Linked DNA regions of Rhinolophus ferrumequinum. The main gene of each other region encodes a partner of the protein of the gene in region 2 in a complex. Links are inferred from orthologs where the notes say so. Each region holds a gene or a part of one and is shown on either strand. Other genes may lie near its edges. The genes, in order: LSM3, TXNL4A, PQBP1 and AAR2.

The links.
Region 1: TXNL4A (region 2) and LSM3 share a complex: the UniProt entries of both Homo sapiens proteins name them as parts of the precatalytic spliceosome. The link is inferred for Rhinolophus ferrumequinum from reciprocal best matches to the Homo sapiens genes TXNL4A and LSM3.
Region 3: the proteins of TXNL4A (region 2) and PQBP1 are in contact, whole or in part, in a crystal structure (PDB 4BWQ), measured with the Homo sapiens proteins. The link is inferred for Rhinolophus ferrumequinum from reciprocal best matches to the Homo sapiens genes TXNL4A and PQBP1. Residues at the interface, in NP_006692.1 of Homo sapiens: Gly11, Trp12, Val14, Asp15, Ile18, Asp68, Phe69, Met72, Tyr73, Glu74, Met82, Phe84, Asn87, His89, Met91, Gly97, Asn98, Asn99, Asn100, Lys101, Leu129; in NP_001027553.1 of Homo sapiens: Gln241, Gln242, Arg243, Pro244, Tyr245, Pro246, Ser247, Pro248, Gly249, Val251, Leu252, Ala254, Asn255.
Region 4: TXNL4A (region 2) and AAR2 share a complex: the UniProt entries of both Homo sapiens proteins name them as parts of the U5 snRNP complex. The link is inferred for Rhinolophus ferrumequinum from reciprocal best matches to the Homo sapiens genes TXNL4A and AAR2.

What each region holds. Positions count from the first base shown.
Region 1 is NC_046300.1:40,459,628-40,467,087, reverse strand, and holds the start of LSM3 (U6 snRNA-associated Sm-like protein LSm3), read right to left. Parts: upstream 3,126-7,460; 5' UTR 3,030-3,125; coding exon 3,009-3,029; intron 1,240-3,008; coding exon 1,129-1,239; intron 1-1,128. Other genes in the region: XPC (DNA repair protein complementing XP-C cells), read left to right, coding at 3,322-3,424. UniProt on the Homo sapiens protein: Plays a role in pre-mRNA splicing as component of the U4/U6-U5 tri-snRNP complex that is involved in spliceosome assembly, and as component of the precatalytic spliceosome (spliceosome B complex).
Region 2 is NC_046302.1:60,340,764-60,348,492, reverse strand, and holds the start of TXNL4A (thioredoxin-like protein 4A), read left to right. Parts: upstream 1-4,624; 5' UTR 4,625-4,654; coding exon 4,655-4,901; exon of another isoform or gene 4,902-4,943; intron 4,944-5,152; coding exon 5,153-5,325; intron 5,326-6,907; exon of another isoform or gene 6,908-7,056; intron 7,057-7,490; exon of another isoform or gene 7,491-7,560; intron 7,561-7,729. UniProt on the Homo sapiens protein: Plays a role in pre-mRNA splicing as component of the U5 snRNP and U4/U6-U5 tri-snRNP complexes that are involved in spliceosome assembly, and as component of the precatalytic spliceosome (spliceosome B complex).
Region 3 is NC_046284.1:85,759,225-85,766,945, forward strand, and holds the start of PQBP1 (polyglutamine-binding protein 1), read right to left. Parts: upstream 3,014-7,721; 5' UTR 2,877-3,013; intron 2,809-2,876; exon of another isoform or gene 2,653-2,808; intron 2,466-2,652; 5' UTR 2,448-2,465; coding exon 2,381-2,447; intron 905-2,380; coding exon 793-904; intron 571-792; coding exon 455-570; intron 260-454; coding exon 1-259. Other genes in the region: TIMM17B (mitochondrial import inner membrane translocase subunit Tim17-B), read left to right, coding at 3,206-3,231, 4,061-4,160, 5,606-5,669, 6,463-6,591, 6,676-6,786, 6,877-6,965. UniProt on the Homo sapiens protein: Intrinsically disordered protein that acts as a scaffold, and which is involved in different processes, such as pre-mRNA splicing, transcription regulation, innate immunity and neuron development.
Region 4 is NC_046306.1:19,429,891-19,437,882, forward strand, and holds the start of AAR2 (protein AAR2 homolog), read right to left. Parts: upstream 3,091-7,992; 5' UTR 2,955-3,090; exon of another isoform or gene 2,662-2,954; intron 2,517-2,661; exon of another isoform or gene 2,226-2,516; intron 316-2,225; 5' UTR 265-315; coding exon 1-264. UniProt on the Homo sapiens protein: Component of the U5 snRNP complex that is required for spliceosome assembly and for pre-mRNA splicing.

The DNA.
Region 1 (7,460 bases), on a different chromosome or scaffold from region 2:
GGGAGTGAGGCTGAAGTCAGACTGCCTAGGTTCATCTTCTGGCCCTGACTTTTCTGACTGTCACCTTACACAGATGACTTCACGTTTCTGAGGCTGAGCTTCTTCAACTATAAAACAGGGATATTTAGTATCTACCCACAGAGGGTTGTTATAAAGATCAAAAGAGATGTGTATTACATACAAAACACTTAGACTAGTACCTGACATATAATTAATGCTCAATAAACTTTAATTATTTTTAACCTCTTTAGGGTAGAATGGCAGTAATAAAAACAACACACTCTGGAAAGCAACATGTTATCAAGAAGAGGCAAAACCTTCAATTACTCTTTTTATGAATAAATAGGACTACTTTAAAGGACCAATCCTATAGAAATATTTGCAGATGCACACAAAGAAATATGTATTAAATATGTATTAAAATGCTTACTGCAGTATTATTTATAGTAACAAAAAAATGGAAAACAATCTAAATATCACTATTACCATATAAAGAATTCTATGTAGTAATTAAAAAGAATAGAGAAGATCTATATGCACTCATGATCAATGATTTCCAAGATTCAGTGAAAAAGAAAAGTGCCCAAAAATATGTATAGCAAGATCCCATTTATTTTAGTGGTGGTATAGTGCAAATATATGCATATGGACACGTATTATAAATACATACGTGTAAATATACAGAAAATACCTTAAAAACCATAGACCCAATTTTTAACAGTGGTTACCAGTAGAAGAAATGGGATTTCACCTTTTACGGCATGTATTTCTGTGCTATTTAAGTTTTTTCACAAGAAAATACAAATTATGCATATGTCAGTAATTAAAAAAACACTTAAATAAGAATGGAGAATAAATGTTATCTGCAAATAAATAGAAGGGTAAAATATGAAAGAAATGAAAATGTTCTTTAATAAACACATTATTTCTGGTAAGAGAAAAAAATGTTAAAATATGAATAAAATAGAGTTGTATTTGTGTTATAGAAATATGGGTAGCTGCCACCTTCCTCTCTGCATTCCAAACACTGTTCCACAGTTGAGAGTTTTTACATTTCAAAGGCGTGGGAGTAGGGAGGGAAAACAAGGAAATAACCTGATTTCAAGGTAATTTAATAGATTTACTTACATGTAATCTACCTCGAAGCTCTCTGTCATTTCTCATTTTCACATAAATTCGCTCATCCAGGCTGAGCCTGATGAGATCCAGGGGTTCTTCTACGGTGTTGGTAGTTTGTTGCTGATTAAAAAAACAAGCTTAGTAATATAGTACTAGAGAGAGTGTAGTGTTTGAATCATTGCTACGCTGCATTGACTGTGAGCAAGTAACTTAACCCCTCTATGCTTTCCTTAGTCGTCTATCCAGTAAAATGTGGATAACAGTGCCTACTTAATACCATTGTTGTGAGGCTTAAGTGACATATGTGAAGGCTTAGAACAGTACCTGGCGCATAGTAAGCGCTATATAAACGAGAACTGAAAGAAACATACACAGGAAGGAGTTATACAGCAAAATAATCATGACTATACTTTGTTCCCTCAAAATCCAAGCTGCTTGACACAACTTCAGGACATAGGGAGTCACTCTCAGGGACGTTAGCCTTATCTCAAATATCATTTAGTAATCTGAATAACACTGACTTAATGACTACTACACAAGTCAGAACGCTAAGCAGAGATGAAAATGTGAAGGAAAATGAGTTCAGTACAGGGCACGCTGAGTTTAGGGTGCCGACTGGCCAATAAGATGAGTATACTCAGCAGGCAGTACAGAATACTGGCTGAAAGCACTGGCTTTGGAGTCCTGCAGCGTGCGTTCAAGGGAAAAAGTCCTGTCCTCAACTGGTCCCCAACCTCAGTTCAACAGCTGTTTGTTAAGGACCAGGTAACCAACTACTAGACTACAATGATACAGAAGTCAGCCTCTGCCCTCAAAGCAGCTCATTCTATTTGGGAGAAGCATATAAATCATTACAATACTGTAAGAATATACACGCTGACAGAGGCCTACTGCTCCTTTAGCCTGGGTCCTGAATGCTCTCTGTCTGCTTTTTTCATCCTATTCAGCTTTAAACATTGCCTTTTCAAAGAGGCCTCCCTGATCATCCAATTCATTCCCTCAATACCTAAATATCTGCCGAGTGGTTCCAGCACTGTTCTAAATCCACCCAGGGCAGAATAGTACACAAAACTCCTCGTAAGAAATTCACATTTTAGTTGGGGGACACAGACATTAAACAAAGCAGCATATACTTAATATGAACACATAACATGCTATGAAGAAAAATAAAACAAACTCGGGAGAGTGCTATTTTATGTAGCTGGCCAGAGAAGTCCTCTTTGATGAAGCGAGGCTTCAGTAGAAAGCTTGAGAAGTTGCGGCCTGATCACAACGATATCTGAGGAAGAGCATTTTGGGAAGAAGGAAGAGCAGGTGAGAAAGCCTGTAGGACCAGCAGTTATTCTGTATACCAGTTCCTTGCTCGTTTCCACATCCCAGTTCCTATATATCACACGTATTTATCTGTCCTCCCTCGCAATATAAGCTCCAAGTGGAGACAGGGATCACGTATGTCAATCCCTGTGACTCTGGTGCTTAGAACGGTGTGTAAACCATACAGAGTTGATGTTCACTACATGTTTATTGAATGAGTAATCATTGTTGCGGTCAAGTAATTGTTGCGCGATAATTACCGCGCTTTCTATCAGAATCCCGACAGCTCTGCGAGGCAGGCAGGGACAATTACTGCCATTCTATGGATAAAGGTGAGACTCAAGAGAAAGGAAGTGAGGAGCGGGAGGGGTAACTTAGTTTTCTGGCGGATTTGGAAGTAGAAAAGATCTCAGAGCCTGAGGCAAAATTAAAGGCCGTGACGACCCGGAAAGAGGCGACATGATAGGACACCGTCCCGTGAACTTGAAGAAAGCAGCCGGGTATGCAAAGCCGAACAGGGCCAGGGCGCGGAGTGGGGAAGCCGCTCTGGAGTGAGTTCCTCAGGGGACACTCACCTGGTCCACGTCGTCCGCCATGTTTCAAACCCTGCGCCTTTTCTCGCCTCTCGCGATATCACGCCCCTCCAGTCTCCGGAAACACGAGGACGCAATGCACCGGAAGTAGAAAAAAATTTGTTTTGCGTCTTCTTGCTTCCTGCAGTTTGCATTTGTCACTTGGGACTGGGACGGCGCTTCCTCTGGGGGCGTGTGCTTGGTCCATAAAGGAGGGGCGTGGTCATGCCTCTCCCCGCCTTGGGGTGTAGACCACGCGGGTGCAGCTTCCCGCGGTTTGGTGCGTCACTCGCGAAGCGAGCCCTCCCCGGGGTAGATGGCTCGGAGTCGCGCAGCCGGCAGGGAGCTGCGGGGACGCGAACTGCGCAGCCAGAAGGCCAAGGGCAAGAGCACGGCTGGGCGGCAGGAGAAGGAGGAGGGTGAGAGCGAGGCCGAGCCGTGTTTAGGGAGAGATGCTGAAAGAGATCCGGAAGCAGGCCCGGGTGCGGGGAGTGGGGGAGCCAGCTTCCTGGAGGTGGGGGGCGGAGACTGTTCCGCGCCGGTCTGCGCTGAGAAGACCACTTGACGGTGGCCAAGGGAAGCTGGCGTTTGTGCCGCTGCCCCGGTCCTCCCCGTCGCTGTGCCTTTGTTCTCACTCGAGGAGTGACGCACCCTGAGCGGTTCCCCTGGAGCCCAACTTGACCTGGAGCTCCCCTGCGTCGCCTCTTTCCTGCTCCCTGTGGCCCACAGGATAAAGTCCAACCTCCTGGTAGATGCGAAGGGCTAAACAGGGAAAAGACATTGTACTTGTTTTGTGTCCGTAGAAGAACAGAACGTAGTTTGTGGTGTGCTGACTCCCAGAATAGTATCTTCAGCTAAATCTCACCCCAGAGTTCCAGATTTGGATCCAACCCGACTTCACGTGGATATCGAATAGGCTTCTTATGTTTGTCATGTGCAAAGCAAGACTCTTGATTTTCCCCTTTCAACCTGCCTCTTCCCCACTTTTTCCCATCTCAGTAAATGATCCTTCCCCCACTTGTTTAAACAAACCAACCCCTCCTTTTCCATACACGAGCACATCCGTCCAATCCTTCAGCAAGTCCTGTCAGTTCATCCTCAGAAGTATAGCACATCTCTTCACTTCTCTTTATTTCCAAGGCCACAGCCCCTGCCCAAGCCACCATTACTTGAAACTTGAACGACTGCAGTTACCTTTTTATTGGTCTTCCCTTCCTTCCCCTGCAATAATTCTCCACCCAGCAGCCCAAGTGATCTTTCAAAACCAAAATCAGATCCTTCCATGCTCCTCCTTCAAACCCTCTGTGGTGTCCCATTGCTCGTGGCATAAAATCCAAATCCCTCATCATGGCCTACAAGATCCTACAGGATTTGGCTGTTGCTTCCTCCTTTTTGTCTCCTACCCCTCTTTTGTTTGCCAGATACTCTCCTTATTGGTCTCCTTTCTGTTCCTCACGCATGCCATGTTCTCACATTGAACCTTTGTGTTTGATGTTCTTTCTGCCTAGAATGTTCTTCCATGGTTCTTGGCTGTGGCTGATTCTTCTATTGTGCCCTAAGGTGTCCTTCACCAGGTGCTCTGTATCACAGAGGCCCTCACAGCTTCTGTCACAATCTGTAATGATCTTGTTAATTTCTTTGCTTCCTTTTTAATCACCCATCTTAATAGAATTTAAGCTTCATGAACGCATCTTATTTTTTTTGATGTATCCTCTCGTCTCCCCCCAGCATATACTAAGTGCTCAATAAGTATTTTAAGTAATTGTAAAATACTTGCTGTGGAGGGATTTTGGGGGTTCCTGAAATAATTGGGTAGTAGATTAGACTGGGTAACCAACAGGGCCTCCTATGACACTAGATTCAATGATTCTGTGATTCTGTACATATGACAAGGCAATCATCCATTAGGAAATAGTCAAAAGATAGCAATTTCTAAACTTAAAAGGTGATTTACTTCGCACTAATACTATGAGTTTCATTTAGTTCATTTACTCATTAAAATGACCTTTGAATATTTTTTGAGTATCTGGTTGGTGCTGTACATGAGCTAGGTAACGTGGGAGACAGAGATTTGAAGGAGCTTAGAATATAGTAGTGTTGACATTTACAAAAATTATCCAAGGCAGAGTGTGATATTGTGGGAGAAGGTACAGGGCTTTGTGGCTTCTGAAGAAATAATCAAGTTTGGCTGGAGAGCTTGGGAAATGCTCTCTGGAGGAGCTAGGTTTGATCTGTAACTTTAGGGATGGATAATATTTCAGCAAGAGGCCGTGAAAGGGGGTTAGTATTCTAGTCAGAAGGAATCTATTTTGTCTGAATATGTGGCAATTCAAAAATTAAAAGTTTTAATCTGATGGAAATGCCACCTGCTTGGGTAGCATTCCTTCTAGCTAAACACTTCACCTGGGCACCAGTTTGGTATAGCTCCAGCGCTCAGTTGTTATGTGCACTTGGGTAAATTATCCTGGACAGATAATTGAGCCATTCGAAACTTGATCTGTGAAACATAATCCTACCTTGCAGGGTGGTTGTGATTTTTCAGTGAGATAGTATGTAAAGTTCCTGGCATGGTCCATGTTAGGTAATCAGTTGGGCTAGTTCATATCAGTTCAGGCTAAATGGATGTCAGGATGCACCTAAGCTTCACTCAAACTCTGACAACCAGAGTAATTAAGTTCTCAGGGCAGCTTCCAAGATCTGAAGAGTTAGAATCTTTGTTGTGCTTTGGTGGAGGAACAAATGTAGTTTGAGCTGCGGGTGATACTAATTTGGTGACTTGTTTCTAACAGCGCAACAGTGTAGGTTTTGACATCACCTTAGTGCATGCAATGAAATGATAGTAGTGAACAAGACCGCAAGGTCCCTGCTCTCGTGGTCCTTATAATCTTTGGAGAGAGGTAGGTACATAGAACAGACAATAAATTAAAAATAAATTCACATGGTGATAAGAGCTATGAAGAAAGTAAAACAGATTACTGTAATAAAACTGACACGGAGGTGGGGAAGACGCAGCTAAGAATCAATGATCAGGGAAGGCCTCTGAGGAGGTGACAGTTTGAGCCAGTTACTGAATGTCCTGAAGGCACCATTCATAGGAGGTTCTGGGGGAAAAGAGTTCTCAGCAGAGGGAACAGTACATTTAAAGAGTCTTAGGAGGGAATGAGCTTGGCCAGTTGGCTTGACACAGTGAGTGAGTGAGGGGGCGAGTGGCAGGAATTGAGTTGAGAGAGGTGGGCAGGGCCCTTAGTTTGTATTTTATTTTAAGTGCTATGAGATGCTACTGGCAGGTTTAAGCAGGTGTTCTTATTAAATTTCAGTGGATGGCCAAGCAAACCACAGTAGTAATTCCTGCCCTACTGAAATAACCGCATTGAATTCAGAGCAGCTGGTTAGCCATGTTAGATAGCCCTAGATCTTGGAGAATCCTAGAAAATAGCCTCTAGATTCTCTGGGACAAAAAACACAGCAAAGAATAAAGAAAAAAAAGTCTATATTTCCATCATCCAGAAATAACCACCACTAAACAGTGGTATATTTCCTTCTAGTCTGTGTTCTTGTGTATAGTAGAAAACACTGTAAAAACCACTTTGCATGCTTAGCATTTTATCCTAGATCTTTTTCCTTTGTCTTAAAAGATGACTGAGTTATATTTCATTGTGTGACTGTACTGATTTAATGATTATCTCATGGTTGGACATTCTGATTTTTCTTTTTTTAATTATTTAATTTTTTAGTTACAGTTGACATTCAATATTATTTCGTTAGTTTCAGGTGTACATAATAATGGTTAGACATTTATATAATTTATGCAGTGATCCCCCAGTTAGTCTAGTACCCACCAGGCACTATACATAGTTATTACAATATTGTTGACTATATTCCCTCTGCTGTAGTTTACATCCCCTTGACTATTTCGTAACAACCAATTTGTACTTCTTAATCCTTTCATCCTTTTCACCCATTCCCCCACCCCCCCTTCCACCTGTGAATCATCAGTTGTCAGTAGTTAAGAGTTTATTTCTGTTTTGTTTGTTTATTTTGTTCTTTAGATTGCACAGATAAGTGAGATCATACGTATTTGTCTTCCTCTGTTTGACTTATTTCATTTAGCATTATACCTTCTAGATCCATCCATGTTGTTGCAAATGGTAACATTTTATTCCTTTTTATGGCTGAGTAATATTCCATTGTATATATGTACCACTCTTCTTTATCCAGTTGCCTATTGATGGGCACTTGGGTTGCTTCCATATCTTGGCTATTACTAGTAATGCTGCAGTGAACACAGGGGTGCATATATCTTTTGGAATTAGTGTTTTGGATTTCTTCAGATAAATACCCAGAAGTGGAATTGCTGGGTCATATGGTAGTTCTATTTTTAATTGTTTACGGAACCTCCAAAACCATTTTCCATAGTGGCTGTACCAGTTTGCAATCCCACCAACAGTGTACACA
Region 2 (7,729 bases):
AACACTCTGGGTATTGCCGATTTGCAAGCCCCAAGACCTTTGAATAAATCTTCCTCATTTATTTCTAGCTAAAGCCTCCTGACTCCTTTTGAGTATATCCCATAGAGATAATATGCAGAGTCTGGAGAGTCAACTATAAGCTTTCAGTGGATGCAAGTTACTAATGTTTAAATCTGAGCAATTCAGATATTAATATTTACCTGTCTCTAAAAATGAACAAAATTACACCGAAGAGGGAGAGTGAATTCATAAAACACAGTGAAATTCCTTAAAATCCTATTCCTCACACATCTTCCACTCTTAATATTTGACAGGTGGGTCCAATATACCCCAAATCACCCTCATGTACCAAGACTTGCCTTAAATCAGCACCAGCTGGCTTTTGTTCCCCTCCCTGCCAAACCTGCCCTCTTCTCTCTCCAACCCCTTTCAAAGTCTATTCTCATCTCACCTACAGTAGTTTTCTGTCCCCATCATGAGTATAAAATCAAAAGTGTTTGCTCTCTGTCTCTCACACAGACTCCTGGCCCAAATTGTGCACAAGAGACTCAGAAAAGAGGCTGAAGCCCCTCTGCTTTCTTATCCTTCGCATGATATTATCTTAGCATGGAAAATTATCTGATCAGTACATGACTAGATAAGGGGACCTAAAAGATTCAGCTATGCCAAAGAGTTCGGAGTCCTTGACAATCTGTTTGCTAGTGAGGGATTGATGAAAACTGAACTGTTTTCATCTTTTGTGATGTTTCTTTAGTCACCAGGTATCAACAAGCCCAATATAATTTAAAACCACAATGTGTCTCAGCAAAAACAGGTGCTACACTCCTGAAAAACTAGATTCCTATAAGGGAATAAACTATGAGCTAAAATCTGATGTGAGTGTTAGGCCATATTTAGGCCAGGAACAGGAAGCTTCGTATCTTAAAAGCCATCTCATCCTGCTTTAGGCCTTGTATCTTTCACTAATGTTTGCCTTAGGCCTGGAGAAGCCTCCAGGAAAGCAGAAACCAGCTTATCCTGTCTTGCTTTGAACTCTGGCTCCTAGGGGCTTGTGATCAGTGGGCCTGGGCAGACGGAGGCCTGGGGGCCAGGGTGTGGAGCCAGCAGGAGGGCTAGGTCATGCCCTGAAACCCTTTGCTGCTAGAGACAATGCAACAAAAACCCCCTGAAGCATTGAAGGGGGAACAACTTTGTTTACCCCCACCTATAAAACTCTATACCCCTTTTTGCTGGGGGAGGTTATGATCTTTGCAGCTCAAACATGCCAAATAAATTCTAATAGACCAATTTTGGTCGCTCGCAACTCACTCATTCCGCCAGCCATGCCTAACAGTGAGTACCTGAATTTTACCCATTTAAAGCTTAATCTGCCATTGCCTATAGCTCAGAAAAATAAATACCTGTACAAATTGACCTTTAATTTCTAGCAGAGTCCCTGAAGCCACCTTAAACCTCTCAAACGCGGCAGGAATAAATAATAACAACGTTGGTTTTCCCCTGTTAAATCCTTTAGGATCTTGAAATACGGGTCAGGATGCGTGTCAGGACTTTAACGTGGCTCACCTATCCCAGGTGAGGTCTGGGGTCACAGCCACGCCCACGCGGCAGAGCTCGGTCCAGTCTCCGGCCCACGCCATGACATCCTAGGGGGCACGCTTACAATGAAGTAAGTAGTGCTACATCTGTTGTCCTTGATAACTAAGCGGCCCGTGGTCCCTCTGGGGGCTTATTGATAGGAGGATGTGGAGAAGCCACTATGGCAAAGGGACGTTGAAACTACAAATACTGTGAATTTGTAAGGGCTATTTTGAGAGTTTCCGTTTGGATGAGGGGACTCTTCCTGACCTGAAATCTCTCCAGAAGACCCCTGGGGCATTCCCTCCTGTTTCAGCATCCCTCCTGGACAGTGGTGATAAACCACTGGGAAAAATGGATGGCATCCTGCCTCCCAACACTGTAAGGTTGCAGAATGCAAGATCAGTATACAAACACCAATTGTATTTCTACACACTAGTTATGAATAACCTGAAATTATTTAAAATAATTGCAGAGAAGGGGCAGCCAGTTAGCTCAGTGGGTTACAGTGCGATGCTCATAACACCAGAGTTGCCAGTTCGACTCCCACATGGGCCAGTGTGAGCTGCGCCCTCCACAACTAGACTGAAACAACTACTTGACTTGGAGCTGATGGGTCCTGGAAAAACACACTTAAATAAATAAAAAAGTTTAAAAAATAATAATAATTCCATAGAAAATAAAGACCTAAATAAACAGAAAGACCTCCCGTATCCATGGACTGGAAAACATAATATTAAGACAGCAATACTCCCTAAATTGGAGTACAGATTCAACATTTCCTATCAAAATCCCAGCTGCCTTTTTTGCAGAAATTGACAAACTCATCCTAAAGTTCATATGGAATGCAAAGGACGCAGAAAAGCCAAACCAATCTTGAAAAGGAACAAAACTGGAGGAGTCACTTCCTGATTTCTAGACTTACTACTAACACAGTACGTGAACTTCATTTCTTATAGCATGCATATTGCTTTAATCCAAGCAGGCTTTGTTTATCCTGATAAAACTATGATTCACTTGCATTTAAGCCCTTAGGACACTGGGTTCTGGTCAACACCAAATTCACTTAAGAATAAAGCGTCAGGTCTATCAATCATGACCAAGACACAACCACCAAACCTCCAACTAGAACAAGGTTTGACCCTTGGCCTCAGTTATGCTTCAGCTCTGGACTCATGAAAGCGGATCGGCCCCACAACCGCACCCCCTGCGAACTGGATCAAACAAGGCCATGACTGACACCAGGACCCACAGCCATGACCAACTGCTCTCTGCTTTGGCCCCGACCAATTAGTGGAGCCCACGACCCCCACTCCCATAGAGACCACGATTAATGATTGTTCCCTCCTGTAACCTGGCTGCTAGAGCCATCGGGGAGCCAGGTCTTTGAGAGCAATAGCTCACCCGTGTCTCGGGACTTGGTGCCAATTCCTTAAATACACCTTTTCGTTCTCTGCTGCAAACTTCTGCTCATGTTTTGTTTTGGTTTGGACACAACCCCTGGTGTCAGCGGTAATGCTACGAATTTACATTAATTAAGATAGTGATACTGACATAAGACTACACAGAGAGATAGATGAATAGAATTAACACTACAGAAAAAAATCCTTATAAAGTCAATTGATTTTCAACAATTTGGTTGGGAAATAACCTTTCCAATAAATGGTGTGGGACAACTGGATATCTACGTGCAAAAGAATGAAGCTGGGGGGTGGCCGGTTAGCTCAGTTGGTTAGAGCGTGGTGCTGGTAACACCAAGGTTTCCATTTTGATCCCCACATGTGCCACTGTGAGATGGGCCCTCCTTAAAAAAAAAAAAAATTAAGCTGGACACCTATCTAACAAAATACACAAAAATTAACTTAAAATGGTCACAAACCTAAATATAAGAGTTAAAAGTAAAAAAACTCTTGGAAGGAAACAGGAGTAAACATCATGAACTTCAATTAGGCAATGGTTTCTCAGATATGACACCAAAAGCACAAGCAATAAAAGAAACAAAATACATACATTGGTCTTATTCAAAATTTAAAACTTGTGCTACAAATGACACCAATAAAAAGTGCAAAGTCAATCCACAGAATGGGAGGAACTATTTCCATATTGTGTGTCTGGTAAGAGAAGAGTTGGTTCCACAACTCTGAACAACTTGACCTTAAGTGGGTGACTTTCACATCACAGTCTGTGTGAATGCTGCCTCAACAAAGCTTTTGAACAAAAGACCTACTATCTGAAGACAGACAGTGCTGACGGCTGCAAACGAGGCGAACCAGGCAAACGTAGTGAATGCCACTGAATGCTTCAATGGGATTAGAATGGTCACTTGACATGTACTTCACCACATAGAATGTAGAAACGCTAGTCGCAGTAAATTATTTGGGGGCATTGGAGTCTTGTGCATTAGCTTGGCGTACTTCTGTTAATATACTGCTTTTGACAAGTAAAGCGAACCGTGTTGTAGGGCAGGGGATCCTGCCGACTTCACCATGTGTCATGCAGGGTGTCCTGCGGGGTCTCTGGTCCCGCTCCCCACATAAGAACGCAGGATATGGTGAGGCCAAACAGGAACACCCACGGAGCCATAGGTAGGGCAGTCACACCACTCTACTCTCGCTGGCGGCTGGGTTGGAGACACAGGGACCAGGAGCCACACAATTCTCACCCCTCACTGCGCCGCTTGCAGGCTCAGCCACCATCTTCTTGCTAGCCCCCATTTGCTGCTAGCCTAGCCACGGCAGTTATATTAGTGGCCAATGGCTCACTGGTTACAGCTGACGGCCGTTTGATCACAGTCGATGGCCATTTACTACCTGAGCCAGCACCTTTCTATGTGAGGCCGAGAGCCTGGAAACTGCTTTTTGGGGCTCTGTCCCCACACGTGTTTATGTCTGGAACGGGTGAGCGCCAAAACGACTACTCTGGGGCCTCCGCGTGGGAGTGAAGGGGACACGCCCCGCCGCAGAGGTGCCCACCTCTCGGGGCGGCCCCACCACCGCCCGCGGTCCTCTCCGTCCGCCGCCGCCTCCGCGGGGCTCATGGAGTCCTCTCAGTTCAGCGCCGCCTCCCGCCGGTCGCGGGGATGTCGCGGGGAAGCCCGGGCTCTCTGACGCTCTCACCGGACAGACAACAGGTCTCACAACCCACCGCAGCCATCCCTCGCAGCAAAACTCGCTGCAACCACCAGAACCCAGCGCGAGGCCTCCCAGCTGCGGACACGCGCACGCACGACGGGCACGCACGGCGGACGCACGCTCGGCAGACACGCGCACGTGCACGTCAGGGCACGTTAGTGCGCGTCCGCGCCGGGGGTGACCGCTTCGCGGGAGGTGCGTGTGAGCCGAGGTGCAGGGAGCGGGATTCCGCGGGAAGTGGGTTCGGCGGGGATCGGGGCCCGACGGGGAGTTGGGCTGGGCGTGTGGGCCGGGCCGGGCCGGGCGGAGAGCGGGGCCCGGCGTGGGATCGGGGCCCGGCGGGGAGCGGGGTCCTGGTCTGTGGGGAGCGGCGCGGCAGCCCCCGCCAGCGCCGCGCGCTGTGGCTGAGGCGGAAGAAGCTCGTCCACCGAGTTCCTCTCGCGCAGGGGCCAGTTCAGTCGCCAGGATGTCGTACATGCTCCCGCACTTGCACAACGGCTGGCAGGTGGATCAGGCCATCCTTTCGGAAGAAGACCGAGTGGTCGTCATTCGGTTTGGACACGATTGGGACCCCACGTGCATGAAAATGGACGAGGTTCTGTACAGCATAGCGGAAAAGGTAACGCAGCCCCATAGCTTCACGTTGCGATCCACCGTCCGCTTTGCCAGTTGGCGGGAAAATTTTAAAGTGAGGTTAAAAACTGCATTCTATGTTTATTCTTAAGGCCTTAATTTCTAATGTGCGGCACAGCCTCCAAATAAAGGGAAGACGCAGGATTAACACACGGACAGATTTTTACCTTGTGAGGTGAGGATGTGCTCCCTGAAATCGTACGTAATAGCACATGTCTTTTTCTGGGAAAAGTTTCCATACATTTTCAAATTTTAAAGAGGTTCGTGATCCCTCTCCTGAAATAAGTTAATAAATCCTAGGGATAGGATATTTTCAGACTATACATCTGTAGCACCATGAACAAAACACATTTGCAGACTTTGGCAAGGGCGTTGGAGCTTATTTTAAATAGCTTAGTTTAAAAGGATTGTCCTTTTTGGGGGACTGTGTTTATTTGTTGAATTTATAAAGCAGAACTCTTATGTTAATAGCATAATAAATCCTGTTCTTTTTCTTTTTGTCGTTTTTCTTTTCTTTACCCCACCATGCTCTTTGTAAGTCACTAGATTTATAGCTTAGAGTGATTTAAATGAAGGGCCTGGTAGAAGAAAGTAGAATTGTGCTTTGTTACAGCTAGTTTTCCTAATTTTTAATATTAGTACACTGGTTTGTCTGTGGCACTTATGGGATGACAATAAAAGTGCAATTGTAGGGCACTATTGTATAACCAGACATGTAATTCTTTTGTTTATAATTTCCTTGTGGCGATTTTAAGTTAGCTTTGATTTGTATTTTTGCAATTGTTGCAAGAGGACAAAAGGCAAATATATTGGGGTTTTCATGAAATAATTAACTTATTAATATTCTATAAATGATTTGAGAGGACATTCATTTTAATGAACAGTAAAAGTGGAAACACTGAAGACATCTTTCATGGGAATAGGAGATGCTAAAATAAGCTGGGTTAAAATAACACCTTTGAGTGAATAGTATCAGATGTAAGGATATATTTTGAATTTAAGAAAGGAAAAGCTATCTGACCTGCCATTGCTAATTTTTACTGTCTCATGTTTGGTAGAAGAGTGAGGTGTGGGTGGTGCGTTGTGCAGCTTCCATGTCAGTCGTCATAGGTACCACTGGCACTACTTACCAAAGGGCATAATAGTGATTCTGAATCTGTAGGTCTGGGGTGAGGTCCCGAAACTGTGTCATTAAGAAGTTCCCTTGGGAACTGTGATGTGACTCTCAGAAACCCCTCAACAGAGGTCAGGGTTATCATAGGAGTGCTGCGTCTGTCAGCGATCCCCTCCTCTTCCTCTTGGACACCAAGACATTGAGGAGCTTGAGGAGGTGCCTGGGGAGCTCTGGAGAGGGCTGTTGGCTTACACTAGGGGGCCTCCCAGTTGGGGTCAGAGGTCATGAGTCAGGTGGTACCAGGGAGTCATTTATTCATTGTTCAAGCTGTAGAGGTCAAGGGCAGCTACTGCTGACTTCAGTGAAGACGACCAAGCACTTCTCCAATAAGCAAATCATTAGCTTGTTGACTTTGAAATAACTCAGGGTGTGTGTTCTCGATTCTGCCTCACAGGTGGCGGCATAACCTCCAGGTGATGTCCGATCCTGCTGCCCTCAGCACGAGGCCAGGATGGCTGGAGACCTGAGGGTTGGTTGGCTCTTCCTGTCTGAGCAAAACTCAGCAAGATGCTCTTAGCTAGGAGGCATATTTTGTGAGTTAACGTAAGTGTTCAGGGACTTTCACCAGAGTTGTTCTTTCCTAATTCCTTTCTGTCAGTTACAGACTGAGGTTACAGCCGTGTCAGTAGTAAACACATTCTTTTTTTTGTTTTGTTTTGAACCTGTTGATCAGGACAGTTTTAATTGGGCTCACTTTGAATATTTTTGTTTGGTCTTGAAGTTTCTCTTTTTCTTTTGTCCAAAAATTTGGGTTTTTATTTTAATAAACTTTTAATACTGTATTATAATATGCAGTTCAAAGTGCAAACTTGAAGTGCATTCCAAGACTATTAATGTTTTATTTTCTTCTTAGTATAAGGGCAAAATAAGACTATAATTCTGGAAGCTCTCTCTGGAGAAGCTCAACAGGAATTTTTGAAATCGAAGGCTTTAGTGTAAAGAACAATTTAACTCTGTTTAAAAATCTCCCTCTGCAGAAATGGCAGACAATGGGGGATCCTCCTCACCTTGTCACGAGCCCTGTTTGGATATCCCAGCTGTTCTGAAGTGAGTAAAAGTTCAGTGTTGAGGCCGAACCTGATGTTTCTCCTGGAATGTGGTGTATTGAACCTGACCTGCCAGGGCTGGCTGGACTCATTTGAGCTGTCCTGAGACGGAGGTTGCTTCCAGACTTAACAGATGTCTGGAGGTTGGTGGAGTGATAGAAACAAATAAA
Region 3 (7,721 bases), on a different chromosome or scaffold from region 2:
AGGTCCTCCCGGCGATGGTGGCGCCGATCTTTGCCCTCCTCCCGGTCCACCTTGTCATACCCGCGGTCTCGGTCCCGCTCCCGGTCCCGCTCTCGCTCTCTGTCCACCTTGTCATAGCCACGTTCTCGGTCTCTGTCAGACTTCTCGTGGCTCCGGTCCGACTTCTCGTGGCCCCGGTCCGACTTCTCGTGGCTCCGGTCCGACTTCTCGTGGCTCCTGTCCAATTTCTCATGGCTCCGGTCCAACTTCTCCTCAGCATCTGGGGACATAAGAACCTTGAAGTGACCTTCCTTGTCCCATCCCAGGACCCAGTTAACTTCTGCTTTTAACAGCCTCTCCTGCTTGGGGCTGGGCCTGCCAGTCCCACCTGCCCCTCTGGATCCATTGTCATTTACTGAGCCCTCTCTGAGAACTGCTGGAAGCACTCGAGGCACCCTCGGGCCTGCCCACTCACCTGCATTACTGCTCCTGAGCTTCTTGGAAGATTTGGTCACGACGGAGTTGGGATCATGTGGGGAGAGCCAGGACACGAGGTCTGTGTCCACATTCCAGTAGTAAGGGAGCCCGCTGCTTGGCAGTGAGGAGGGAAGGAGTGTCAGCACAGATATCCTCTCCTGGTCTCCTCAACTCCTGCTCCCCAATCTCCGCCTATATCTGCCCCATGTCAGGACCCCCCAGGGAGGACCCCCAGATATCTTCCCGTGCCCTTTCATTTACCCCAGTGCCAGAGGCAGCACAGGAAAGGGGAAGTGAGAAGTTAGCTGCTCCTCTCCCCCAGGTCCCCGAGCTCACCAGGAAGGGTCGAACACCTTATACCAACTTGGTGGCAGGCCTTCCAGCCGCGTGGCCTCGTAGTCCACGGGGTCGTCGTCATAGTCCTCGGCAATGATCTCTTCCTCTGGTTCTGCCAGGACGGAGAGGACAACAGCAGTAAGGGTCGGGGACTCTCATCCTACCGTTCTTGTCTGGAAAGATGTGCACATTCACACGGACACGCGTGTGTGTGCCACGTCTCACTGGCCGTGGCACATGCTGCTCACATTCCAAGTCCAAGCATCTGAACAGTAGACTTAATGTGCACCTAAATCTGTCCCGTTCCTGGGTTCAGATACGATATACTGTTACCCAAGTCTATCTAGTTGAAAGGTTTAGATAGGGATTCATCAAAACATGGATCCATAGTCATTCAGTTCCTGAGTTCAGGGAGTACGGAACAGCACACTATCCAAATCTATTTGGATAAAATGAGTTTCAACAGCAAGGGGTTTATCTGAAGTAAGTCCGGAAGCTCCCAAGCTTGGCAAATGCAGGGTTTCGGACTCTTGTATTTTGAGTAACAAGAATTTGGATAGCAAGGAATTTATCCCAACACCACTCTGAATCCATTCAGTTCCCGAGGCCTGACGCATACAGTGGTCGGTTAATATCAATAGAACAAAAAAGGTGTATATTGTCAGCTCAGTACCCGGCCCTCTCAGGAGGCCTATCACAGATTTCAGCTGTGGGTATAACTAACACTGAAATTTATATGTCAGCAACAGCATTCATACTGTAGGCCCCAAAGAGGTCAGCTATAATCATCAGTATGTTTTTTTCTTAATTAAAGTTTATTGGGGTGACAATTGTTAGTAAAGTTACGTAGATTTCAGGTGTACAAATTCATCGGTATTGTTAATAAGATAAATACCATCAGCACAGGGCCTAGCACCCAATAGGCTTAAATATCAATAATCATTAGTAACATTAACCACAAGATCTCTGCCCAGCACACATTAGGTTTATAATGTCACTATTCATTAAGGTGGAAATAAGATGTATTTTCCTGGCACACTATAGCCCCAAATAGATGCCAGATTTTACTATCATTGACAATAAAGTATAAATAGCAGCAGCAGCAGCAAGTAGGCCTAAATGATAGATCCTATCATTATTTTATACTGTTAACCATAAGGTGTACGCCAAAATACATGCCAGCTATTGATATGGTGAACAATAACATATATATCACCAGCATAATATCTGGCACCACAGTAGGTCTGAAAAATGTTATCTATCAGTATGGTAAAGAACACATTATCGACATCCGGCCACTGTCCTCAGTGCACAGAGGCCTGTAGTAGGTGACAGCTATCCTTACTATTAGACACTTTGTAATCACTTCATGGATTGATGGATAGATTGAACCTGGCATGCAGTAGGCCCAAATAGGTATGTGGGGCCTACTTGTCAATATTAAGGATGAGATGTCTATCTCCCCCGCGCCCTCCTCCCCGCCCCCCCTCCACTGCTTGGTGCACAGTGGGCCCATGCTGGCTATCAAGTGGCAGTATCAACAACAAAGTGTCTGTCAAGCCTGGCATCTGCTCTTTAGCTCTCTCACCGGGCTCCAGATGTTTGAGAATGCCTCTCTTGGCCAACCGGGTCTGCAGCGCAACGGGCAGCGGCATAGTGAGTAACAAACAGACCTAGGGACGGAAGGACAAGACTAAAACAGCTCAGGTGAAAATTCGAATCTGGATTCTATAACCAAGCGCGTCCCGGCAGCATGTACTCATCTGGACTCCCACCTCCCCACCTCCATTAGTAGCTGGGCAGAAGGAAGCTGTGCTAAAAGGTGGAAGAGACAGGTAGAAAAATCACCAAAACCCTCACCAACCCTCCTCTCCAGGACCGATGCTCCACAACCCAGTTCCTCTCCCAGGCCCAGATTCCAACCACTGCCGAAGGAGCCGAAAGCGGCTTCCCTGCGCCCCAGAAATGGGTGCACCCAACATCCCCCAAAGACTGCTGGGTGGGCGGAACCAAAACGCTGGGATGGGGGTGCACAGTAGAGCACCTCCCTCAGCTCCAAAAAAATGCATGCTCCCGGAAATTACCAATACAGTCACGCGGGTAGCAGAAGGCTGTCAGACTGGCCGCCTCACTGTCCTCGCTGCTCCGATCACCAGGACGTCACTATTCGCTTCTCCCAAAGAACAGAAACAGCTACTCTCTCCCTGAGACTTGAACTACCTGGGAGAGTACGCCGCGGTGAACAGATGATGCAACCTGGGTAGCCAATGAGAGTGCGTCATTGGCCTGACCTACGGCGCAGCAATCCAATCTGGTTTTGGGATAGGTGGAAAGCTCGGCTCTGTGTGCGTTTACGGCGTGGGCGTGGCCTAGCCTGGGTTTAGGCAGATTGCACGGGCCGGACGCTGGCGCCATGGAGGAGTACGCTCGGGAGCCCTGGTACGGCGATGGCCACAGGCCTCGGGAGTGTCGCTGCGGCATCACGGCCAGCTGTGGGAGGCGGGCGGGGGAGGCACCGGCCCCAGAGCGCCACGGCCCAGAATCGGGAGACGTTTAGTTGTCTCCTTCTCTCCTCCATTTGTTCCCTCCCACTTGGGCTCCGTTAAGAGGGACCACAACCGTGTGCCTGGAGAACAACTCCACGTTTCCCGTGTCCGTATCTCTCAGCGCCTTTGTTAACGAAAATAGACACACTGGTCGAATCCATTTCCGCCGCGGGGGTGATAAGCTGTGAGCGGAAATCCCCAGAGCTACCATGCGTGGTTTTTCCCAGGTCCCTTTAGTGAGGGGGGCGGGGCCTGGATGAGCCTATTGTGAGCAAGGAGGAGGTGCTGGATCCTCCCCACAGTCTGCTCTTGGTTTTTCCCATTTGTGCGTGGTTAAGAGAGGGAAGCGGGCGGGGCTTGCTTCGACGTGTTAGTTGTCGGAGAAGGGGGGTTGCGACCCGTCCTGCTTTAATAGTACTAGCGAGTTAACACTTCTGTAGGGATTATTATAAAGTGCCAACTCTACGTGTATCAATTCATTTAATCTTTGATAGTAAAGTGGTTGGCTGATTCCTTGGTTGGCTGCAAAGGGAAGGGGCGGAGAGGGCAAAGACTAATTTTTCCCTTTTTGCCCTATTTCTTGCTTAAATGGGGGGGGGATAATCTGTTCTCTGAAGTGCTACTTCCCATTTGGGTGACTTGGTTTCTCCCAGTTGAAAGAATCCACGTGACGTAGCATAGGAGGGCTCACATTAACCCCATCCTCCCCTTCACACTTGCAGCCCATGGCGAATTGTCGATGACTGCGGTGGAGCCTTCACTATGGGTGTCATCGGTGGTGGAGTCTTCCAGGCCATCAAGGGCTTCAGAAATGCCCCTGTCGTGAGTCCTGGCCTTCTCTGGGTGGTGTGGGGATCCTGCCCTGCCAGCACAGGGTACTGCTCTGAAAACTGCTGGGAGCTGCCAGTCACATACACTTAATCATTCTGGTGCCTGCTCACGTACTATGTGCCTGGCCTGGCTCCCGGATCTGGGGTTTTGGGGAACTGCAAACATGGCCACTGTCCCTCACCCCTCAACTGGAGCGCCTCTGGAAATGCTGTGCTGTGAAAACAGTCATCACTGTCGACGTAAGAATGTCCAAACCCGTAGAAAAAAATGTATAAGAGTTTATTTGAGCCCAACAGAGAATACGTCTGGAAGCAAGATCTCAACAGACAGAAAAATGCTTCCCAGAATGACAGTTTGCAATTTTATACATTTGGAATTAGTGGGGAACATAAGGATTACATGAATGTGGGAGAAAGCAAGGCAGGGAAATCTCTATGATTGGATTACAGGATAGTTAACAAGATTATTCTCTTGTGGGTGGTTACACTTCCTCAGGGGTCTGAAAAAGACACATTTCAAAGGTGTGTTATCCTAGATAAACAACGGACAGCGCTTGCTTAATGCAGAGATAACCTTTTACTAGGGAAGCTATAGTCCTGATCAGTCAGATCACCCAGTGAGGTTACGTTCCATTAGATTTATTTCAGAGATCCCTTTCCATCCATATCACCAAATCATATATGTGTGTGTAAAGCTAGACGAATTTTACCTATAGGCAGATTCTGGGTCAGAAACCTGGATAGAGGGAAGTAACAGTATAATTGGCAGAAGGAGGACAGCCTTAAAGTTAAGAAAATGCTTTTAATTTAACATAATCAGTTCTGTCTCTTTCTCTGACACGCCCTCCTGGGAGAGCTCAGCAAGTGTCATACTTTGAATGCCATCCATTTGCCAGGGTCTCTGCAATTTATATATCTGGCCCTGTCCCTCCCCTCAACTCCGACAACTCTTTCCTGGATCTTTGCCCAAGTTTCTCTCATCCTCAAGGTCTCAGCACAAATGATCCCTCATTAAAGAGGTCTTTCCTTACCCCTCAGCTGCTATCATATCTCTTCATCCTATTTCCTCTAGGGTATGTATTGCCGTCTGAAGTTGTCTTGTTTATCTGTACCCTTACTCAGGATTTGTGTCTCCCACTGTAATGGGAATTCTGAGAGGGCAGGGGCCAGGTCTGCCTTGTTCAATGCTGCGTCCCTGCATGCAGCATGGTACCTGGCCCATAGGTGCTCAGTCATCGATGGATGGAAACTCAACCCAGCTCTGAGAACACCTAGGTTGGGGTACTAACCAGCCCCCTAGTTCTTGGCCACTGCTCTACATCTCTACCTCTGATACTCCTAACAGGACTCCCACCCCCTTTCCTCTGCAAAGCTAAAAGCCCCGTCTGCCAGTGGCCTCAGCCCTCCTCTGACACCCTTCCTCCTCACCTTCCCTAGGGAATTCAGCACCGATTGAGAGGTAGTGTCAACGCTGTGAGGATCCGAGCCCCCCAGATTGGAGGTGAGAAGCTTGGGGAGACAGGAGATGTGATGGCAAAGTTGGCAGTGGTCGCTCCTTTGGGTCTAGACCACAAGTTGGGGGTCCGGGTTTGAGCCCCAACTCCGCCTGGGACTTCCTGGGGGAGTAATGTTTCCCAACAATTTAATATCGCTGAGTTCTGGAGTTTTAAGTCTAGACTCGGGCTCTTCCCTGATTTGTGACCTTGGGCTCTAATCTCTCCAAACCTCATCTCTAACGGGAATGACGATAGCAGTAACCACCCCAGTCATTTTGTAATGGATGTAATTTACGTAGCACTTACTGAGTGCCAGTTGCTCTGCTAAGCACTTTAATAATAGTAACTAATTTAAAATTTCAGAAGTCAAATAACAAGCAGTGCCTAGGTCAGGTCCTGGCACACAGTAAGTAAGGCCTCAGTAAACAGTTTAACTATCATATTGTTAACTGGCTTTCCTAACCTGTTACCTTCTTGCTGAAACCAAGATCAGAACTCCAACTCTATGTGGTGGTTATGAAGATCAAAGTTAAAAGCCATATGGAAGGTAAATGTGCTTATAAACACTTGTCACCTCCCTGTGAAGGAGAAGAGACAGCTTGAAGAGGAGCTACCATAGGGACAGATGTGGGGAGTATCCCCTAGGAGTTCGCTCTCTCCCTTTGCATCTGGTTTTTCTCCCTTTTTTTTTTTTTTTTTTTTTTGCCATAGCCTTCAGGCCTGGGGAGTCCCCAGTCTCTGAGCTGTGGATTCTTGGGATTTCCCTAGGACACTAATTAGGCCTCTGTCCCCCTGTAGGTAGCTTTGCGGTGTGGGGGGGCCTGTTCTCCACCATCGATTGCGGCCTGGTGCGGCTGCGGGGCAAAGAAGATCCCTGGAACTCTATCACCAGTGGAGCGTTGACCGGGGCTGTGCTGGCTGCCCGCAGTGAGTACCCCCAGCCCTGGCCCCAGCCCCCTCCACCCTGTTCTGCTGGCCCTCACCTCTCCCCCTGCCTCCTCACTCCTCCAGGTGGCCCATTGGCCATGGTGGGCTCAGCAATGATGGGGGGCATCCTGTTGGCGCTCATCGAGGGTGTCGGCATCCTCCTCACTCGCTACACTGCCCAGCAGTTCCGCAATGGTGAGTACCTGGCCACGCGGGTCAGGGAGAAGTGGGAAATGCTCTGCCTAGCCACCTCTGCTCACCTGTACCTGATTCTTCCCTTTCCAGCACCCCCGTTCCTGGAGGACCCCAGCCAGCTGCCCCCTAAGGAGAGTACCCAGGCCCCAGGCTACCCCAGCTATCAGCAGTACCACTGAAGAAGTGACCGCCTGTCGCCACCATCATGGGAGCGCCTCCTAGGTTCCCTCCCCGATGATCTACCTCGAAGGGAGGGCTGGCTCCCACTTGGCCCTGGGACCCCCCGGAGAGGGCCTCTCTGCTCTCTCCGCTCCCTTGTCCCAGGGTGGGCGTGGGGCACCCCAGCTGCCCTGATGGACGGGTCCCCTTCACTCAGGGCACCCCAGCCCCACATTCATAATGTAACAAGCTCTCACCCCAGCCCCTTCCTTTGGCACCCTGATGAGTATTTAAAGCCAGTCTTGAAACGCCTATGGATGTACTCCTTGAGCCAGCTATGGGAGCCTCTCCTTAAGACAAGGGGCAGAGCCCTCGTCAGGGACTCAGAAGCCCTAGGATTTGGAGTCCCACAGAGAGTGGGCTCTAGTAAATGTGGGATGAATGAGCAGGAAAGGGAATGAATCAGGATGAGAATAGGTACATGAATAAGTGTGTCTGAGGGCCAAGTGATGAATCATAAGCAGACAGAGGCACAGGCTTGGGAAAGAAATGAGGGAACACAAGGATTGCTGGGGTGGACAGGGTGGTTCTGCATGTCGCACCCCTAATTCCTCCCCCCAAAGCCCCCATTGCCAACGCTAGGAAATCTGACCACAGAATGCACTCTCATTCTGGACGCTGGTCACTCGACTGGTAGGAAGGTAATCCTCCATGTGGCCTCCCCATGCACCTGGGATGAAAGTAGGGGTCAGGGAGACCAGGCTTCTTTGAAGAAG
Region 4 (7,992 bases), on a different chromosome or scaffold from region 2:
GACCATCAGCCCCCGCTGCTGCAGGCTAAGGAAGAAGCCCATCCGAGGGCCCACCTCCCTGGGGTAGGCCTTGTCCACAGAGCTGTAGTGAAGGAAGTGGATGCCTGGTGGGATCATTTTCACACCCCGGAACTTGGGCCCCACCTCCCAGGAGTTGTAGTCAATGCCAAACTCTGTCCCCTTGGGCATATTCAAGATGACCACAGTGGCCCCTTCAAAGAAGAGGTGCTTGGCAAGTTCAGGATCCATCTGCGTAGCAGCCATGGACCAGTGGTGGGTGACCAAAAGGAGAACCCTTCTTGTCTTTCAGAATAGCTGAAAAAAGAAAGAAATCAGAGTTCATCAGAAGTTGGGGAAGCATACTTCATTTGCTGAGCATTCTCTATGTGTCAGATACTGAATTAGACTCCTGACATAATTATCTCCCAGAAGTTATCTCCTCACACAACCCTACATCAGCTTTATACATGAGAAAAATGAGAAAGAGAGAAGAGGATTTTCGTGTTTTGGTTTAATGAGCAAGAACACTCACTTTATAACTGCAAAGGCATGAAAGAGAAGTGACATGTTCAACGTCACACAAATTAGAACCTGGGTACCCTGCCCTCCAGGCCAGTGTTCTGTTCATTGTCCACTTAGGATCTGCTCTCAGATCACTCTCCCAACAGAAGATGAAGGTGGAGAAAGCCTGGATGGTCCATTCTAACCTATAACTCTGCCTAACCTATTGCTGGAGAAACCCAGGAGTTGAAAAGGATGATTAAATCAAGCATACACCCAGTTTCCCACAAACCTCAGGGAAGGCCCAGAAATGGACAGAGGTGGAAAGTGGATGCTCAGCATCTAAAATTCACACTAGATCGGGGAGGTGAAGAGTCTGTTAACCACAAACCTCCCCTTCTCCTTTTATGCATAAAAACCTAAAGTCCAAGGAGTGAAACAACTTCTCAAAGGGCCTAGTCAGTGGCAGCTCTGGACCACTAGCCCAGAATGGATTCAGGTGGCATGGCTGGCCTAGGACCAGTATTTAGAAGAGAAAGAGCTCAGAACATTTATTTTACCTACCTCTGGACAACCCATGAGGACACACTGTAAAAATTCTGTAGGCAGACAAACACTGCCTGCGTGGTATTTATTTATAAGACTGGTTCCAACATGAACTAACTTAAACCAAACAATCATCTAACCTTCTAGTCCTAAGACACCTACCTATTCAGTTTAACAAATAATCACTAAATGCCTGCACTGTGCCAGGATCTTTACCAGGCACTTAATAAAACATCCAGTGGAAGACGGTCACTGTCCTGTAGGTACTTCCAATCTAGCCAGACATACGAACAAGAGCCCAAAATTTCATAAACAGAAGAACCAACTGCCTGTTTAATTCTCTTTACTTTTTCTTTTAAACAAACAAAACAGTGAGGAACAGAAGACTAACCCTTTTCCAAAAATGTTAAGGGCCTATTTTACCGTCTTAACTTAAAAAACACTACAAATGACTCTCATTCTACATCAGCATTTTTTTTTCAGACTTCATGTCACACCTCATTAATGGGTCAAGAAATCAATTTAGAGAGTCTCAACCAGCATTAATTTTTTTAAAACAAAAAGAACAGAATTTTAAAAAAAATCAAAGCGCAGCGGGTGTAGTATAAATCACTGTTTTTTGAAGCTTTGTGGGTTTGTACGTCCTTTTGGTTGCAACGTAAAGTGTATTTGTTCCCATCGGTCACAGTCAAAAAAGTCTGAAAGTCACTGTTCTAAATAATTTATATATCATCATCTTCCTATTCCCAAACCTGATTTCAAAAGGTACTTAAATAAATATTTGCTAAATGAACAGCTCCTGCTTTTAGAGTAAGTGCTCATCGATTAGCTACTTTCCCTTACAGTAGTGGCACCTGTATGCTCCTCCTTGATAATGACATTCCTCTTGTTCTAATTCCACCAGCCTGTACTAGTCATTATATCTTCAGCAGCTGACACATGTCCTGGCACAGAGAAGCAGCCCTGGAATGCAGAAAGTCACATCTACCCAATTCTCTCCACCACCTCCTTAATCTAAGCTACCACATCCCTCACCCAGAGTGCTTGCCCCTCCAATCCATTCTCCATCCAACAGCCAGAGTGAGCTTTACAAAATGCCAATCTAAGCATGTCACCACCCACACTTAATACCCTGTGAGTGGCTTCCCATGTGGCTCTTGGAGAACCAAAATTCTTACCATGACCTCCAAGGCGTGCATGGTCTGCTTCCTGGCAACTCCTTACGCTTGTTTCAGAACACGATCCCCCACCAAGCCCTCTGTTCCAGTCACATCTTTTTCAGACACTCAAACGGGAGGCTCCTCTGGAGAGAGAACTCTTCGTTCCCCTCTCTGTCAAATCGGTTTTCTGATCTCAATATTCCCTCCTCGGTCAAGCTTCCTTGACGCTGGGCTAGATCAGGTTTCCTGTGTGATCCACTCATGGCGTCTTGTGCCTTTTCATTTCACTTATCAAGGTTGCAATTTTGCCTACATTTAATAGAGGGCTGTCAGTCACCTCCATGAGACCTCAGTCTTTTTGTACCTCTAGCACATATTAGACGCTTTAATAATAAAAACATGATATCCGTTTTGCAGTTGAGAAACAAAGGCTCAGTTCGGAGAAAGACCTTACCTAAGTTACAGAGAATCGGACCGAATCACGTCGGACGTAGCCAATGTGTCGGGCCCCCAAGTTCTAAAGTTAAGAAAAAAGGGAAGTTACGCCGGGTGCTCTAGGAAGTACTGGCGACGGTTTCTCGGGCACAGGCCTGCAGAGACATCGGCGTCCCACCACTGGCCCACAGATCGGGACGCGGCTGTCCCAGCGAGACGCCCTAGTTCAGGGCACTCCGTGATCCGGAGCGGGACAGAGGGGTGGCCCCGCCAAATGACAACGAAGCAGAGGAGTTAAACCACCGCACTCACCAGCCTCGGTCTCACTCCCCGCGCAGACACAGCGGAAACGCCCCGGAAGTTGTACCGCTTAGGCGTAGGACAAGCGCCACGGGAAAAGCGGCCCGGCAGAGCTCTTGGTCACGGAAGGAACGGTCCGCGCCTGCAGATTCCGCCTCATAAAACCTTTTGCTTTTCGTTAACTCGTTTTAGCTCCTGAGCCGTGGATGACAACTTTCGTCAAACTGTGCATTTTTATATCCCGCTCCAGAAACACATCCACCAGCCATGGTCCTTTGATCTCAGTCCTGGTCACTGAAGCTGGGGTCAAGGTCATGGCTGCTCAGTAGCCACAGTCAGATGCTCAGTCATGGTCCTGGTCAGCCAATCTCTACCTGAGTGACAGTGTCACAGCTGGCTTATTATCACCCAGTCTCAGCTTCCAACCACACTCAGGACTAAGAGAGAGCCTTAGAAACCCAGCTCCCAAACTAGAGAGAACCAGTCTCAGCCATAGTAGTCACCGTGTCAATCTCTCCATCCGTAATCACCCAATATCCTCTGGCAGGACAGACCTAGCTGATAACTCAGTCAGGCTATATCGGTGCCCTGAGGGTGGTTACCTGCCTGTCTTGTTCTCTACTGTTTCCCCGGAACCTAGCACAAAATAGGCACAAAGGTTCAGCTCAGTATATATATTATGCATTTAATTAATGACAGTAATTTGGTATTAATAAATGGCTTCTATTTTGGGGCCTCGCCCTGTGCTGAGTGGCTGTACCACTCAGGGTCCAACCAAAGAAGCAGAGCCAATAGGTGATATATATTATGAGACTTATTGCAAGGAATTGACTCATGTGATGGTGAGGGCTGGCTGCGTAAGTCCAAAATCCACAGGGCAGGCCATTCGCATATGATTTCTAAACCTTACAATACCCTAATAAGCAGGTATTAGTATTCCCAACTTACAGAAGAGAAAACTGAGGCTCAGAGAGGTTACACAGTCAGAGTGGTGGAGCTAGGGTGCAAACCCAGGTCTCGTCCTTGTGCTGCTACTCCTTAGCTTGTGTGTCATACTTCCTCAGTGACAGCTGGACACGCCAATCTGTCTCAGTCAAAATTCATCTCTTAGTGGGTATAGACCAGACTGGACCCTGCGGTCATGGTTAATCACAATGAGCTGCTGCAGGATTAACCAGAGATGGCTTCCATTAGTTACAGTCATGGACGCCAATCTCAGCCTGTTGTGTCAGGTCCACTTCCGGCATGAAGAAGCTCAGCTCTCTCCTCGCCCCTCCCTATTCCCAGTCTTAGGTGCTGAGCTCTCTGGTCTGGTTGTCAGACCTCTCTGTTCCAGCCAGGCTCGCCATCATCTCAGAGACTCCAGGGTACTATACTATGGGCATGGAAGCTGTGGATGGTGTCCCGGAAACCCCACTTTGTGGGTCCTATGTCCATCCAGATTAGGTTTCTCAACCTTGGTACTACTGATATTTGGGGCCAGATAATTCTTTGTTATGGGGGTTGTCCTGTGATTGTAGGATGTTTAGCAGCACCCCTGGCCTCTACCCAGCAGATGCCAGTAGCACCCCTCAGTGTGTCAACCAAAAATGTCTCCAGATATTGCTAAATGTTCCCTGGGGGGTAAAACACACACACCCCCACCCATGTTAAGAACCACTGATACAGATGAAACACACAGTTTACTCCCAGGCAGCACAGAGGCTGGCTCTGTATTTATGGGAGAGAGAGATACAGATCCAAGACGTGTGGGGACCCAATGTTTGCAAACCAAATCCTATTGCAGAACCCCAAGTGTGACAGATAGCTAAAGGAAACCTGGGGAAATTCAGAGAAGGAGTAACAAAGCTCCTGGAAGGAATTGCCTTTGGCAAGACAGGAGTCTGTAGAGGGTTGAAGAATTGCTTTTCACTGCATAGCATTCTGTATAATTTAATGAAGAAATAGTATTAGTATTTGAAATTACAGTGAAGTGCTCGGGATTTAAGTTTTAAAAAGTATTTAGAATGGTATGTACAAGGTAACTTCAAATCTGGAAAAAATACTTGGACGTGGAAAAAGTCTGGAAGAAAATGCACCAAATGATTACCGGTGTTCTTGCTTGTGAAATTTTGGGCAATAAAGAAAGGCAGTCTGGTGTGAGTTGCTTAGTGGAATAAAAAGGAAAGTGCTGGTGCGTGCACCTCAGGTAGTCCAAGGGGTGAGTTTAAGTTTTACATGGATTACTTTTAATATTTTTGCATTTCTTTTTATGAAGACCTCCTTTCTTTGGCAAATGACAATAGTTTTCCATTTGTGGAAGTAATATAGTTTCTTTTTTAAATAAACATTTTTTTTTACACAATTTAAAGAAAAATGATAAGTCAGTAACAAGCCAGGTGGCACATATGGGGATACGGCAACACGTGTGAAGGCAGTGGGCCAAGGCTGGAGTTGAGGGAGGGTGGCTGTATACATTATCCGCTAGGCTCCCATGGAGCAGGGGTGCAGGAAGAGCCCCTGCGGTAGGTGCTCTTCTTTCAGGGAGGAGAGAGACTGCTGTTCCTGCACACACCGAGCCCCCGTGTCCTGGGGCACCCCCGCATGCTTACTGTTCCTTCCGCCTAGAAGGCTCTTGCCCAAGTTCTTCACCTTCCTGGATATTTCTCTTCATTCAGCTCACAAATATAACCTCCCTAGGGAGCCTGTAATTGGCCACCTTATTGAAGATGGTCTCCTTCAGTGACCATCCCCCCATGTGCATTTCCTTCCTGGTGCCCATGCCTCACTCGGGTATTGTCTCTGCCTGCCTGTTGTGTTGTCTGTTTCCTCCACCAGCCTCTGGGTTCCTGGAGGACGAGGACTTTGTCTTATTTGCTGTTGCACCTGCAAAGCCTACTGCAAGCACTGGACCACACTGGGAGCTACAAACATTTCTTGAATGAAAGTGTTCTAGGTTGGGATCTCTGCACTCCAGTTTCAGCTCTACTCAAAATGCGAACTTGTACTGGTAGTGAAAGATGGAGAGAGAGAGAGAGAGAGAGAGAGAGAGAGAGAGAGAGAGAGGGGAGGTGTGGGGAGAGAGATGTGCGCCAAGGCAGTTGTGGTTCAGCATCAAACACATTTATTTCACTTTTATTGAGTATACAAGAACAGAGAGCACACGCATACAGCACGGAGCACTGAGGTGGGGGAGCGCGGGGACCAGAGAGGAGAGAGGGGTGTGAATAAAAAGGAACAGGACAGCATCTCAGTTGGTTGGTAAGGAGCTTTTGGAAAAAAAAAAAATTGGAGTGATGTTGCTCATGCAATTTCAGGCCAGTCTTGGAATGTGCTTGCAGGATTCAAAAACTGAGACAGGTCCTGGCACTTCCTGTACCCTCAGATTGAAAAGATTCTGAGAAAGCAAAATAAAATGAAAATCTGTAGGATGGCAGAGGGGGGAAAAGACCCTGGAGAGCATCTGGTTTATCTTCTTCATTTCACAAGTGGGGAAACAGAGGCCCCAGATGAGGCACAGGACTAGCTCAATGTCACAGGGTGAGTTAGGGGCTAAGCCAGAATGGCCGCCCAGAACTCCTGACTGCCCTCTGGGACTTTTTCCACTATGCTACATGGGCTCCTGGGTGGAAAGGCAGCACAGAAAGGATGAGAAATATAAAAAAGAAAAGTAGGTTGAAGACAGACAAGACAAATGTCTATATTCCATGAAGAGGAGGATGGGGAGAAACAGTGTCCTAGATTTCAGTTTTGCAGCTCCCCTCCTCCCTGGTGGCGCTGCCTGCCTCTCCATGGAAGGAAAGTCAGAACATCTGTGGGACGGAGATTGCCACCAACCCTGGCTGGCCCACGAGCTATGCCGGGTCACTTCATCCCTGCACTGAAGCCACACACCCCGGGTCTGCAGGCAGGTGTAGAACCCAGAAAAAAATATTCTCCCTCTGAAGGATGTCCAGTGTGTTCAGATGCCTGGTTCCAGCAAAGACAGGGGTGCCTGAGCCAAATTCTGGGTAGCCCAGAGAGGGTGAAGCCACTCCGGCTCTTGACCCAGAAAGAGTGGAAGCTCTCAGGTTGAGAAGGGCAAGAAGGAGGTTCTGTGGCTTCTTTACCAGGATTGTAAAAAGAACCTGCTGCATAGAAAGTGTGCTGTCACATTTGGGGGGGAGTTGGAGAGGACGACCGACCTGCTGCGGGTAGCGGTGGGGGTGGGGGTGGGGGATGCGGAGACTCTGCCATCTGATGCCCAGGTTCAGGGCTCTCTGCCCTCTCCATCCCATGTGGCCCACAGACGCATACTATCCTTGTCCTGCCTCAGGTGAGCACCAGCTAAACAGCTAAGCATGCAGAGCCTCGGGGTTACTGATCAGCAAGCCTGCGCCCTCTAGAGGACATCCCTGGGCAAAGTCCCAGAATCGGGAGAGAATGTGGAGATGCGCTCAGAGGGGGCAGCCATGGTTGGAGATATAACGCTTGCTCAGGGGCTTCCCAGGGCCCTCCCTCCCCCGCCCCCCCACTCTCTCCTTTAGTCCAAGAAGAGTGCCTGGCATCAGTAGGTACTCAGTAGTTGTTGAATGACTTTATTGACTGCTTTAGAAGCAGGACTGGGGAGGTGAGATGGGACTGAGAAATTAAAATGCAGTGGGGACATCCTTGCTCACAGGAGACTCACTGAGCTCAGGGAAGCAGCCTGTGGCAGGAAAGCCTGGGAAAGCCCCTGTGTGCCCGAGATCAATGCCAAGCTTTTCATAGGGTGTTTCCAAGGGTTTCTGTGGTCTCGAGGCAATTTCTGGGACTCTGAGGGCACAGACTCCGAGCTCAGAGGCTGACTGAAGGGGAGGTCTCCAAAGCCAGGGTCTTCTACATCGATAGAGACTTGAGCAGCACCACCTTTCATCCACAGCTTGTTCTAGGGGAGGTAAAGCCTTCGGGAATACACTTTTGACCTGTTAGGGTTTACCCTGTGTTCACGGTCTCTACCGTGGCTGCTTTGGCCCAGGAAGAAGAGAATGATTCAGACAGAATACAGGCGTGGTAAAGGAAAAGAGCTGGGGATTTTCAGACATCCAGGTTA